Macaca mulatta: one gene and its partners. The protein of the gene in region 1 interacts with the protein of each later gene in a pairwise test. Links are inferred from orthologs where the notes say so. Each region holds a gene or a part of one and is shown in the gene's direction. Other genes may lie near its edges.

Region 1 (3,162 bases):
ATGACCAGCTGTGGCAGGACTCCCCCACACCTGAGACCAGATGGAGACACTCTTCCTGGGACATGCCCAAAGTCCCTTCTCTCCCAGGGGTTTCCTCAGAGGCCACCTGTTGGCCCTGGAAGCTCAGCTTGAGGCCCCTGCTACCTGGATCACTTCGTTCCCAAGTGTGGGCAGCAAGGCCTTTTCCTCTCCCAACTCCTCTGCTTCTAACAGCTCCACTGGGAGCTTCAGCAGCATTGCTGGTTGAGATGTGTTTCAAGGCTGAGAAGTCCTTCCAGGCTCCCTCCACAGCCCCATGGCACAATCAGAAAGTGAGCCAGGGTGGGTAGGCTGCACTTCCCACAGTGTCCTCACGTCCAGCCAGCACCATCTCTGGCTGTGGCTCCTCACAGCTGCCACCTTCCTGCGCCTGGACTTGCCACAGCTTGTCCCTCAGGATGATTTTCCCAACCCAGCAAAGCCCCAGATGGTGGGACTCAGGAGGCAAGGAGAGCTGACCCCCAAGCAGGGAGTTCATTCCTTGATAAACTCACTCAGGTCCCTGTAATGCTGCCAGGCCCTCCCTCTCAGCAGGGTGGGGTAGTGGAGGGGGATGAGAGCTGGCAGCCGCACTGGTCAGGTGATCTGAAAGAGGACCCTAGCACTTAACAAACACCCACCTCGAGATCATTCTCAGCAGGAGGGGCAGATGAGGCATAGGTAACCTGCTGACTCCCCCGGGTAGTAAGAATGTGAACTAGGCCGGGCGCGGTGGCTCACGCCTGTAATCCCAGCACTTTGGGAGGCCGAGGCGGGCGGATCACAAGGTCAGGAGATCGAGACCATCCTGGCTAACACGGTGAAACCCCGTCTCTACTAAAAAACACACACAAAAAAATTAGCCGGGCGCGGTTGTGGGCGCCTGTAGTCCCAGCTACTCGGGAGGCTGAGGCAGGAGAATGGCGTGAACCCGGGAGGCGGAGCTTGCAGTGAGCCGAGATCGCGCCACTGCACTCCAGCCTGGGCGACAGAGCGAGACTCCGTCTCAAAAAAAAAAAAAGAATGTGAACCAGATAGGGCAGGGGAGGAGTAGAAGGACACCTACAGTGATGGGCCACATCCGCAGGAGGAGTGGGGGCTGCTGGACCGGTCACAGAAGGAACTGTACTGGGATACGATGCTGGAGAAGTACGGCACGGTGGTCTCCCTGGGTGAGGACCAGCCAGCCCCACCCCGCCCCCCTCCCTGGGGCCTGCACCCACCCTAGCTGGGCAGGGACTCTTTGTTACCAGCCCTACCCAGCTCTCCCACCTTCCAAAGGAACACCCTGTCTCCTGCCAGAACCCACCCCACCCCTCCTTCATGCAAACCCTGCGCCTAACTGTGCCCCCCACCCGGGCAGGGTTACCGCCCCACCAGCCAGAGGCACAGGCCCAGTCAGAGCTGGGGATGCTGCTCATGGGGACAGGCGTCTGCAGAAGCCTGCGCTCAGGTGAGTGCCCCACACCATCCAGCCTGAGCCACCCACTCTTAGGGGGATGGGAGCTTGTGCCACAGCCACAAGCCTGAGGGAGGGGGTGCCGAGTGCCGGAACTCACCTGGTTTGCCCCTGCCCCCAGGAAATGAGAGTGAGGGTCCACCCGGCTGCCCAGAGGCCCAGCCGCCCCAGGGCCCAGGGCCTGCAGCCTGGGAGGGCCTGCCTGAGGCCACCACTCCTGCCCCCACTGCGCGCCCAGGGACACCACCAGTGCCCACTCAGCCCACACCCACAGAGACGAGACTGGAGCCGGGTACCACCCCTAGGAAGCCCTACACGTGCGAGCAGTGTGGCCGCGGCTTTGACTGGAAGTCAGTGTTCGTCATCCACCACCGGACACACACGCGTGGGCCAGGTGCGCAGTCCCCAGGGCTAGCCGCCGGGGAAGGCACAGAGAAGCCACCGCAAGGGGAGCTGGCCTTTCCGCGCCACCCCCGACATTCACTCGCAGGCCCCCGGAGCTACCCATGTGAGGAGTGCGGGTGCAGCTTCAGCTGGAAGTCGCAGCTGGTCATCCACCGCAAGGGCCACACGGGCCAGCGGCGCCACTTCTGCAGTGACTGTGGCCGCGCCTTCGACTGGAAGTCGCAGCTGGTCATCCACCGCAAGGGCCACCGGCCGGAGGCTCCATGAGCAGCCACGTGGCGCAGTCACTCGGGGCCTCGCTGTTCTCGCGGCCTGGATGCAGCCTCTGGGGCACCAGTAGAAGACTCTGGAGGCAGAAGGGGATGCCGGAGTGAACAGGGGGTCCTAAGCCAGTTCCCTGCCCCTGGTCTGGTCTCCCCCAAAAGACCTGGGTGCAAGGAAAAGGAGCTGCTCCCTCCCTCCTTGCCCCACCTCCTGGAGGGAGGTCTGAGTTCCTTTCTGTGGGTGACCAGTGCCTGTGGGGTGACTGCCAAGCACCAGGCTCCCTCCCTCCCCGCGACATGGCCCTGGGATGACAGCACTCCCTCTCTGGGACCTCCTTGCCTCAGGTGGGTGTTCACAAACTGTGCCTTCCCACCCCTCTGTGCAGAGGCTGGGCCTGAGGTTTCAGTGTGGAGGGCAGAAGACCCCGGAAAGCCCAATTGGCTTCCGTTTCTCCTCCATGTGTGTGTGAGAATTTTAACATAAATTCCACTTCCATAATACAGAGTTTCTGAATAAGAATCCTGATTTCTGGCTTCTGCTGGTTGGAAAATAGGCAGTTTGCTGTCTCTGCCCAGTAGCTGGAGCCACAGGGCAGTTGGTCCCGGAATGGCCAAACCTCTGTTGCCCCAGAACCCAGGTCCCCAGCCTCCCTTGCTCCTTAGCCGTCCACATCACTCACCAGCCTCACTGGCCTTGGAACTCATCAGTCCCAGCTTGAGTAGACACAAAGGGGATTTCCTTTCCAAGCACGGCTGGACAAGGGGGACCTCTGAGAAGAGGGGCTGCAAGCAGGTGTTGCCAAGGCCATGGGTACTTCCAGGTCAGGTCGCAGCCTCCATAGTTAGCTGGTCGTGCAGCAGGAGGGCAAAGGGTCAGCTCCCTGGGAAGCACCGGATCTCCGGGCAGTCACTGGGGACTCGCCTCCCCGGGAAGCACCGGATCTCCGGGCAGTCACTGGGGACTCGCCTCCCCGGGAAGCACCGGATCTCCGGGCAGTCACTGGGGACTCGCCTCCC
Region 2 (3,946 bases), on another chromosome or scaffold:
GACTCAATCTCAAAAAAAAGACTTTGTTTCATGTACAGAATTATTTAAACTGTATAAAATTAGCTCTATGTGAGTAAGGTATATATGAAACAAATGAATTTCATGTTTAGACTTGGGCCTCATCCCTAAGATATTTCATAATGTATGTATATATTCCAAAATCTGAAATTGGAAACACTTCTGGCCCCAAGCATTTCAGATAAGGGATACTCAACTTGTTGTTGAAATCGTACAATATGTAGCTTTTCAGATTGGATTCTTTCACTTTCTAGTATGCACTAAAATTTTCTCCATGTCTTTTCATGCCTCGATAGCTCATTTTTTTCATTTTTTTCTTGTTTTCTTTTTCTTTTTTCTTGTTTTCTTATAAACAGATGTTTATAGCAGCTTTATTCATAATTGCCAAAACTCAGTGGGTAAATGAATAAATAATGGGTCTGTTTTTAAAAGAGTGTTTTATATTTTTACTATTGAACATCTTTTCACATGTTAATTTGTCACTTACCTTGTTTTGTGTATAGTAACATTCATATCCTTTACTGATTTTTCTACTAAAGTCTCCTTTTACTCTTAAACAGAAGTGCCCTTAAAAATCAAATAGGGAACTTGCATATCAACATTTTAAATGCATATGTCCTTTGGCTGATCAGTTCTAATATGTGGCATTTATCCTAGAAATACATTCTTAAAAGAATGTAAAGGTATTGAATGATGTTCCCTCTAGCATGGCTTTTAAAGAAAAAATATAACCTAAGTATGCATCAATAGGATAGTTAAGTAAATTATGGAACACCCATACAATATTACTTAGCTGTTAAAGAATAAGCTGATCTGTGAAGATCTCCAAGCTGTCTTAACCGAAAAGAGCTAAGGTGCAAAATTACATTATGATACCATAAGTGTTTTTAAATGTATAAATGCTTATTCACTAAACAAAATGTTTATTACATGCTACTGTGTGACAGGTAGTGTCCTAGATAAATATGCACAAAATACAATGGTTAACTCTAAAGAGTGGGACATTTTTCGTTTTATGGTCCTTCTGCAACTTGACTTTTTTATTGTACGTATATTATGTATACTTAAAATAATTTGTACAGCTTACTATAATGGTCTTTTAATTGATCTGTTTCGCCTCCTAACCAGTGATGACCCCGAAGACAGACATTTACCACTCTGTTGGTTTTTTATTGAAATGATGTACATAAATGTGGGGCGTGCTTGCACCGTCCGGATGGGCCTGAGGTCCGGCAGCGGAGAGCGACCTGGGCGGGGCGGGAGGTGGCAGTGGGGGTCCTCCCGGATCACCAGAGAGACGAGCGGCCGTGCTCCTAGAGAGGCAAGGAACCCGCCAGACTCCGCCACTCGGCTGCGGGCGCGGCGAGTGGAGAAGCTTTTGTGCTGGCCCAGCTGCCGGAGGCGCCGGCGACACCCATCAGCCCCGCCAGCCCGCCAGTAGCACGGCTTGGGCTCTGGGGAAACCGGCGCTCTCGACTGGGCAGCCCCGGGCCTCTGCGCTCCCTCGGGAGCCTTTCACGAGGTCGGCTACGTCTTTGTTGTGCGCGTTCCTGAACTTTTGGTCCATTAACCAACAATTAGACACGCAGGTATTCAGTGCCTGGCGCGGTGCTAGATGCTGGGTGTAATCTCAGAAAAATACATTCTGGGGTGCGCCTGAGGGTGCTGGCTGCTGGCATCTCAGGTGCTTTACGTGCATTCGTGAAGAAGTCCATCAGTATTTGTTGAATACCAGGTACGTGCCGGGCTTGTAGAGTCTATGCAGAGATAAACTCCTGTCCTCAAGAACCCGGGTGGGGATGGGCTGGGTGATCTGTAATACGAGATGGAGGAGATGAAGGTTGGGAGCAGTTTTCCATGGGAACACCCATCTCTATCTGTGTGGCTTACTTTTCCTGTCTATATGTTAGGGTTAGGGGTGGCCAGGGAAGGTTTCACATAGAACATTTGCGCTGGCCCTTGGGATTTTACCCTTAGAAGGGGGGTCCTGACTGTATAGAGTGGGTGGAAAAAAAAATTGAGTACTTAGCATGGCAGTGAGATAAGGAATTTGGGAAGACCATGGCTTTCTTGAAAGTAGGAACTAAGTCTTTTATTCCAGAGTTAGCTTTATGCCTGGAAAACAATGAGATGCTCCACAAATGTTTATTGAGTGACAAACAAATCAGCAAAATCCAGTAAAGATTAGATCCTGGAGAGTTTGAGTTTACTTCAACGAGTTTAATGAAAACTTTGTATGTGTTTATGTGTGTGTAAGGTATGTTGAATATGGTCAGAATTGTGCTTTAGGGAATATTAATCCAGTGACCATAGAAGCGGGGAATTGGGCAGGAATACCATAACATTATTGTGACAGTGAATGAAAATGATAGTAAAATAATAAGGAAAGAATGGCTGCAAGAGGCATTTTTAAGAATTGACTTGATTCACTGATTGTATATAGAGGCTGTTTAAAAGACTGAATGCATGGAAGATGATGGTGATGCCAGTAGAAATGGAGAAATACGGAGTGAATGCAGCTTTGAGGAACTCTGATCTTAGTTTGAGATCTGTTGAAATTATAGTGCAGGAGAAGCCCACAGCTGCTGGCATTTCAAGATGTGGGTTTGGAGTGCAAAAAGCAAGCTGGAGCCAAAGATTTGAGTCTTCTTGGGAACAGAGATATATTGAAAGTGTGACTAAGGAGATCACAAAGGAAAAAATGAAGAGAGGGAAGAAAAGAACTTGATGCATTTCTACTGTTTCAGTTATGTGTTGTTGCATCAAAAATCAAACTCTAAACTTAGTGGCTGAAAACAAGCTCAGCTTATTGTTCCTCAGGATTCTGCAGGTTGACTGGGTAGTTCTACTGGTCTCACCTGGAGTTACTAATAGAGCTGCATTCCGCTGGTGAATTATTTGAGCACTAGGCCCGGCTGGGTTTTAGCTTGGTCATTTTGGTTCTCATCCACATGACCTCTGTCTAGCTAGCTTGGGCCTCTCACAGCATGGCAGTCTTATGGCAGTGAACCAAGAGCTACAGCAGCACTCTCTCTCTTACAATGTCATTTCTGCCGTATTCCATTGGTCAAAGCAAGTCATAGGCCAGAACAGATTCAAGGGAAGGAAAAATAGACTCCACCCCTTGATGAGAACAGTGGCAAAATCTCATCACAAAAGGTATTTGAGGATGGGAGACTTTGGAAACAGTCTATTACACCTACATTTAAAGCGGAATATTCAGTGAGAGTTACACAGATATAGATGACCTTTGAGACTGTATTATTTGCCCATGAAGGCAGCCATCTGCCTCCTCAATGGGTAAAATGATCCCTTCTCCCCAGCTAAAGTGCAAGCTTCTTGAGCATTCTTATTGCTAACGCTTCTTCCCTCATATCCTACATCCCTTACCTCTGGACTCAGACCCTTTAGTACTAGTTCAAAACATACTTCTGATTCATTTCACTGAGAAATAGAAGGAAGCAGGCTCAGCTTTTGAGCACTACCTACAGTGGGTACAAAAATATAAGTAGATTACATACAGTTTTGAAGGTCTTAGAATTTGTGTGTTGCTGATCAATTCTTATGCCTCAGATCTCTATTTCTGAACACAGACCCCCAAGCTAAGTGAAGCTTTAGCCTCTAAACTCAACATGTATGAAGCTTTGCCAGGCCCTGCTCCTGAAAATGAAGATGGCCTTGTGAAAGTGAAGGAGGAAGATCCCACCTGGGAGCAGGTGTGCAACTCACAGGAGAGCAGCTCCTACACTCAGGAGATTTACCGCCTGCGCTTTCGGCAGTTCTGCTACCAGGAGGCTCATGGACCCCGGGAAGCTCTGGCCCAACTCCGAGAACTTTGTCATCAATGGCTGAGACCCGAGATGCACACCAAGGAACAGATAATGGAACTGCTGGTGCTGGAGCAGTTCCTGACCATCCTGCCCAAGGA
Region 3 (3,991 bases), on another chromosome or scaffold:
CCAGCAGTTCAGAGGAGGAAGTGGTGGTGCCCAGGGCCACGGGATTAGAAGAGTAACAGAGCTAAAGGATCCTGTGCCTCAGTCCAACCACCTTGTCCCCACTTACTCAGCCGGGCCACTTTCTCTGGGGAAACCGATTTCCTTCTGCTTGCCCTTGAAAGGGGATCCTAAGGAAATCGGAGCAACGGGCAGTAGCTACCCTCTGGAAGATGGAGAACCTTCTCCCCTTCTGCGTGGGAGAATCCAATTTCGGTGCAGAGCAGATGGAGAAGGGGCCATGGGAATCAGGCCTGCCCAGGGACCGGGTTCACACTTTCTCTCAAGCTCTGGAGCCTGAAAAATGACCACTCCCCGGGGACGACCCATGTCAGAATTTGGGCTATATTCAGCACAGTGTAGCAGCCAGCAGCCCTGTCTCAGGGTGGGGTCCGGAGGCCCTCATTCCTGCTTGCCCCTCACTGCCACATGACCTTGGGTCAGAGTCCCTCATCCTCTCCCTCCGCCACTGCGCACAGCGGTAACCGTGTTCACTTCTGCGAGCCCCGTGACCCCCACTCAGGGCCAGGACTCACGGCAGACCCCCTGCGCATCCCTCAGGGTCGTCCCGAGGCTCGGAGTGGCCTCCGGCTGCGCGGCCTTTCCTAACGCGGGGACTCCGCACGTGGGCGCCAGGCCCGGAAGGCGCGGGTGCGAGCGCTACCTTTGGCGTCCCGCAGCGACGGGAGGGGCTGGGCGGCCCGGAATTCGGCTGGCTGGGGCTCGCAGGGGGCGTCTGAAATGAGGCGGCCGACGGCGCGCGGGGCCTCCTCCCTCCGCTCCATCCCGCACCCCCAATTCCAGCTTCCATCCCAGCCGCGCCTCCCGGTCGGCCGTTCCGGGCGTCCACCGGCCCGCGTGTCCTGGGGGCGCCGGAGAAGGAGAACAGCGGAGAAAAGAGCCCCGGGCTGACTTTCCGGACCGGCGGGCCCGCGGGGAGGACCGGGCGCGGCGACGTGGCTGACCCACAAAGCCCCCGGCCCGGCGGCCAGGCCCAGGCGCGCGCGGAGCTGGGCGGGCCGGGGGTGTCGGATGTCACCCCCAGCGCACACCTCGGCCGGGGGGCGGGGGAGCGAACCACTGAGATGCGGAGACCTCCCCGGTCCTAGAGCGGAGCAGGAAGTGTCCCAGGGGAGGGAGCCGGAGGGCTCCGGCCTTTCCTTTCCTCGGCGTCCGGCGGGCTCCGGCAGTGGCCAGGCCTGCGCCGCCCGCCAACAGGGACGAGTCGCGGCGGTGAGTGCACCCCGGCTCCCGCGGCCGGCCCCGCCCCGCCCTCCTCGGCCCGCGCCCGGCCTCCGCGGCGCCGCCTCCCGGCCCAGAGCCCAGCGCTCAGGAAGGTGCGGGCGGGGGAGAAAGCAACACCATTGTTTTTCAGGCGCCTCCATTTGCCCCCGAGCCGAGCCGTGGCGTTCCGGATGGTCGGGAGACGCGGTCTGGACGGGCCGGGAAAGGAGCCGGGCGCCTGCGGAGACGCCGCCTCAGCGAGTACGCCCGGCCGGGCGGGCCGGGAGGATGAGGACGGCTGCCCTGGACTTCCGCCGCCACAGGAGGGCTTTCGGCCGGACGCCGGGAGGGAGCTCCGGGCTGTGAGGTGAGGAGCCCCGGAGCCGGCGAGACGGGAGACGCGCGTGTGAGGGAGACCGAGGGCGCGGAGGGCGCGCTCCCCCTTCCCTGGCCCGCAGCGACCTTCTCCTTCCCCTTCTGCCGATCCGGCTCGGTCCCTCCTCCGCGAACGGCTGGGAGCTCGCTCCGCCCCTGCGGGGCCCTCCTCCGCCTCACTCACGTTAGTTCATTCATCAGGCGTCTCCTCCGAGCCTCCGACGCGCCAGGTGCCGCCGTGACAAAGACGGACGCGGCCGTCTGGTTGGAGACGATCCGAGTGGCAGCCCGGGTGGGCGCCGGTGCTCCGGGGGGGCGGACCTGAGTAGTCCTGGGCGCTGCAGGTGTGTGATGGGCGCCGCAGGGGGCCGCCGAGCAGGGCGGGCGGGGCCCACCCCGGGCTCCAGATGCCGGAGCCGCCTTGGAAGGGAATCCGGTGGTGGGGAGCCCTGTAATGCGTCCAGCCCGACGCCTCCACGGCCCCCATATGCGTTTCTGTATGTGTTGTTACTTTGGAAAGCAAGGAGATTCAGAGCAGTGGGTGTTTCTGGAACCACTGAGTTGTTTCGTAGCTTTTCTGGCATCACTTGTCTTCCTGTGAAATGGGAGTGAGGCCCGAGTCCCCCTTGTGAGCTGTTGGAGGATAAGGCGCGGCCACGCTGGACAACCTCCTGCAGATGGAGGAGTGGCAGGCACTGCCGGTCCTAAGGATCACAGAGGCCTGATGGCAGAGAAGGGCACCGTGAGTGTCCCCATGTGCCCTTTCACGGGTCAGTGTTCTAGGGTGCGAGTCATGAACACCAGCCAGGTATACTGGTTGCTGGTCTCTTTTGCCACCCTGTATGTGTCGGCTAGTTGTCTGCACACCAGCGGGGAGGTGGAGGGACCCCTGAGGCCCACCTTGAGGGTGTGGCAGCTGCAGTGTCCAGGGGTTCTTTGAGGGCTGAGCTGTGCCGTGACGGACCCACTCTCCTGTCCTGGCCGAGGAACGGCTTTCGCGGGTGTGCCGTTGCCTTGAATGTGGTTTGAAGAGGTCAAGGATAGACAAGAGGGTGGAGGCGAGGTTGAACGTCAGGCAAGTGTTGGCAGAAGGTTCATAGGAAACCACTGATATTTCTAAATGCAGTGTTATTTGTCCCCCGTGGACTGCATGTGGCTGTCTCATGTGATGTTCCCTGTGTCTGGGTATTTTCCCTGCCTCCCGTTGCAGACTCTGTTGGGCAAAGCTGATTCTGGCTGGGTTGTCCATCCAGCACTGAGCACCATCAGCCCTCTGCCACCAGCAGGATGGATTTTCCATTCCTGGATGTGCTGGAAGGCTCATCCGATGCATGTCTGTCTTTGTCTTTCCAGCTCTATTTGTAAAGGTCTTGAGAACAAGAACAGTGACTTCGGCTGCGGAGCTTCAATATAGTGGCCTGCTTGGCCTGCCCATCTCGGGTCTCCCGGAGGACCCAGCCACTTAAGGTACCAGAGAGTCTTGATTACATCTGCATGTGGCGCTGTTGGTTTCCTGGGATGCTCAAAACACCAGTGTCACGTTGAAATGCCACCACTTTCTCCCAGATTTCCTGCCTTGTTCATCCAGTCACCCGCTTACGGGAATCCACACGTAATGGTACTGATGGGGGGAGGGTATCTTTCTGTCTGTTTCATTCTGTGTGTAAAGACCAGCCACACCGACACTCCCTACCTTTCCCAGGGCTTCTCCAAAGGGCTGGTCTCTGAGGGCATTGACAGTTTCCTTGTCACTGTCCCCCAGAAATGACCACAGGAGACCAGAACACTGAAGCCAGTGATTTCTGTTTGGAAATAGGGTCGTCTTCTGCTGCTGACCCCCATCAAATCCCATCATGCCCACAGCCCTGTGCCCCCGAGTCTTGGCTCCGAAGGAAAGTGAGGAGCCCAGGAAAATGAGGAGCCCACCTGGAGAGAACCCTAGCCCCCAAGGGGAGCTTCCCAGTCCCGAGTCTTCTCGGCGCCTCTTCCGCCGTTTCCGCTACCAGGAGGCGGCGGGCCCCCGGGAGGCCCTGCAACGCCTCTGGGACCTGTGCCGGGGCTGGCTGCGGCCTGAGAGGCACACCAAGGAGCAGATTCTGGAGCTGCTGGTGCTAGAGCAGTTCCTGGCCATCCTGCCCCGGGAGATCCAGAGCTGGGTGCGGGCGCAGGAGCCTGAGAGTGGAGAGCAGGCTGTGGCCGCGGTGGAGGCACTGGAACGGGAGCCTGGGAGACCCTGGCAGTGGGTGAGTAGAAGGGGTGGGGCTGGGACGGGTAGAGATCTGGTGCTTAGACACTTTGACTGGGCCATGTATGCACTGGCCAGGGAATGAGGAATTCCACTGAGAGCCGTGTACTT

Evidence for each region. The genes of interacting proteins can lie anywhere in the genome.
Region 2: the proteins of ZNF446 (region 1) and PGBD1 interact in binary tests that used the Homo sapiens proteins (3 or more experiments, as listed by UniProt). The two-hybrid records come from large-scale screens. The link is inferred for Macaca mulatta from reciprocal best matches to the Homo sapiens genes ZNF446 and PGBD1.
Region 3: the proteins of ZNF446 (region 1) and ZNF496 interact in binary tests that used the Homo sapiens proteins (3 or more experiments, as listed by UniProt). The two-hybrid records come from large-scale screens. The link is inferred for Macaca mulatta from reciprocal best matches to the Homo sapiens genes ZNF446 and ZNF496.

Annotation. Positions count from the first base shown.
Region 1 is NC_133424.1:70,612,843-70,616,004, forward strand, and holds the end of ZNF446 (zinc finger protein 446), read left to right. Parts: intron 1-1,105; coding exon 1,106-1,190; intron 1,191-1,381; coding exon 1,382-1,471; intron 1,472-1,598; coding exon 1,599-2,149; 3' UTR 2,150-2,662; downstream 2,663-3,162. UniProt on the Homo sapiens protein: May be involved in transcriptional regulation.
Region 2 is NC_133409.1:155,062,731-155,066,676, reverse strand, and holds the start of PGBD1 (piggyBac transposable element-derived protein 1), read left to right. Parts: upstream 1-1,146; 5' UTR 1,147-1,753; intron 1,754-1,808; exon of another isoform or gene 1,809-3,611; 5' UTR 3,612-3,650; coding exon 3,651-3,946.
Region 3 is NC_133406.1:1,707,508-1,711,498, forward strand, and holds the start of ZNF496 (zinc finger protein 496), read left to right. Parts: upstream 1-1,191; 5' UTR 1,192-1,269; intron 1,270-1,411; 5' UTR 1,412-1,627; intron 1,628-2,988; 5' UTR 2,989-3,102; intron 3,103-3,451; 5' UTR 3,452-3,488; coding exon 3,489-3,878; intron 3,879-3,991. UniProt on the Homo sapiens protein: DNA-binding transcription factor that can both act as an activator and a repressor.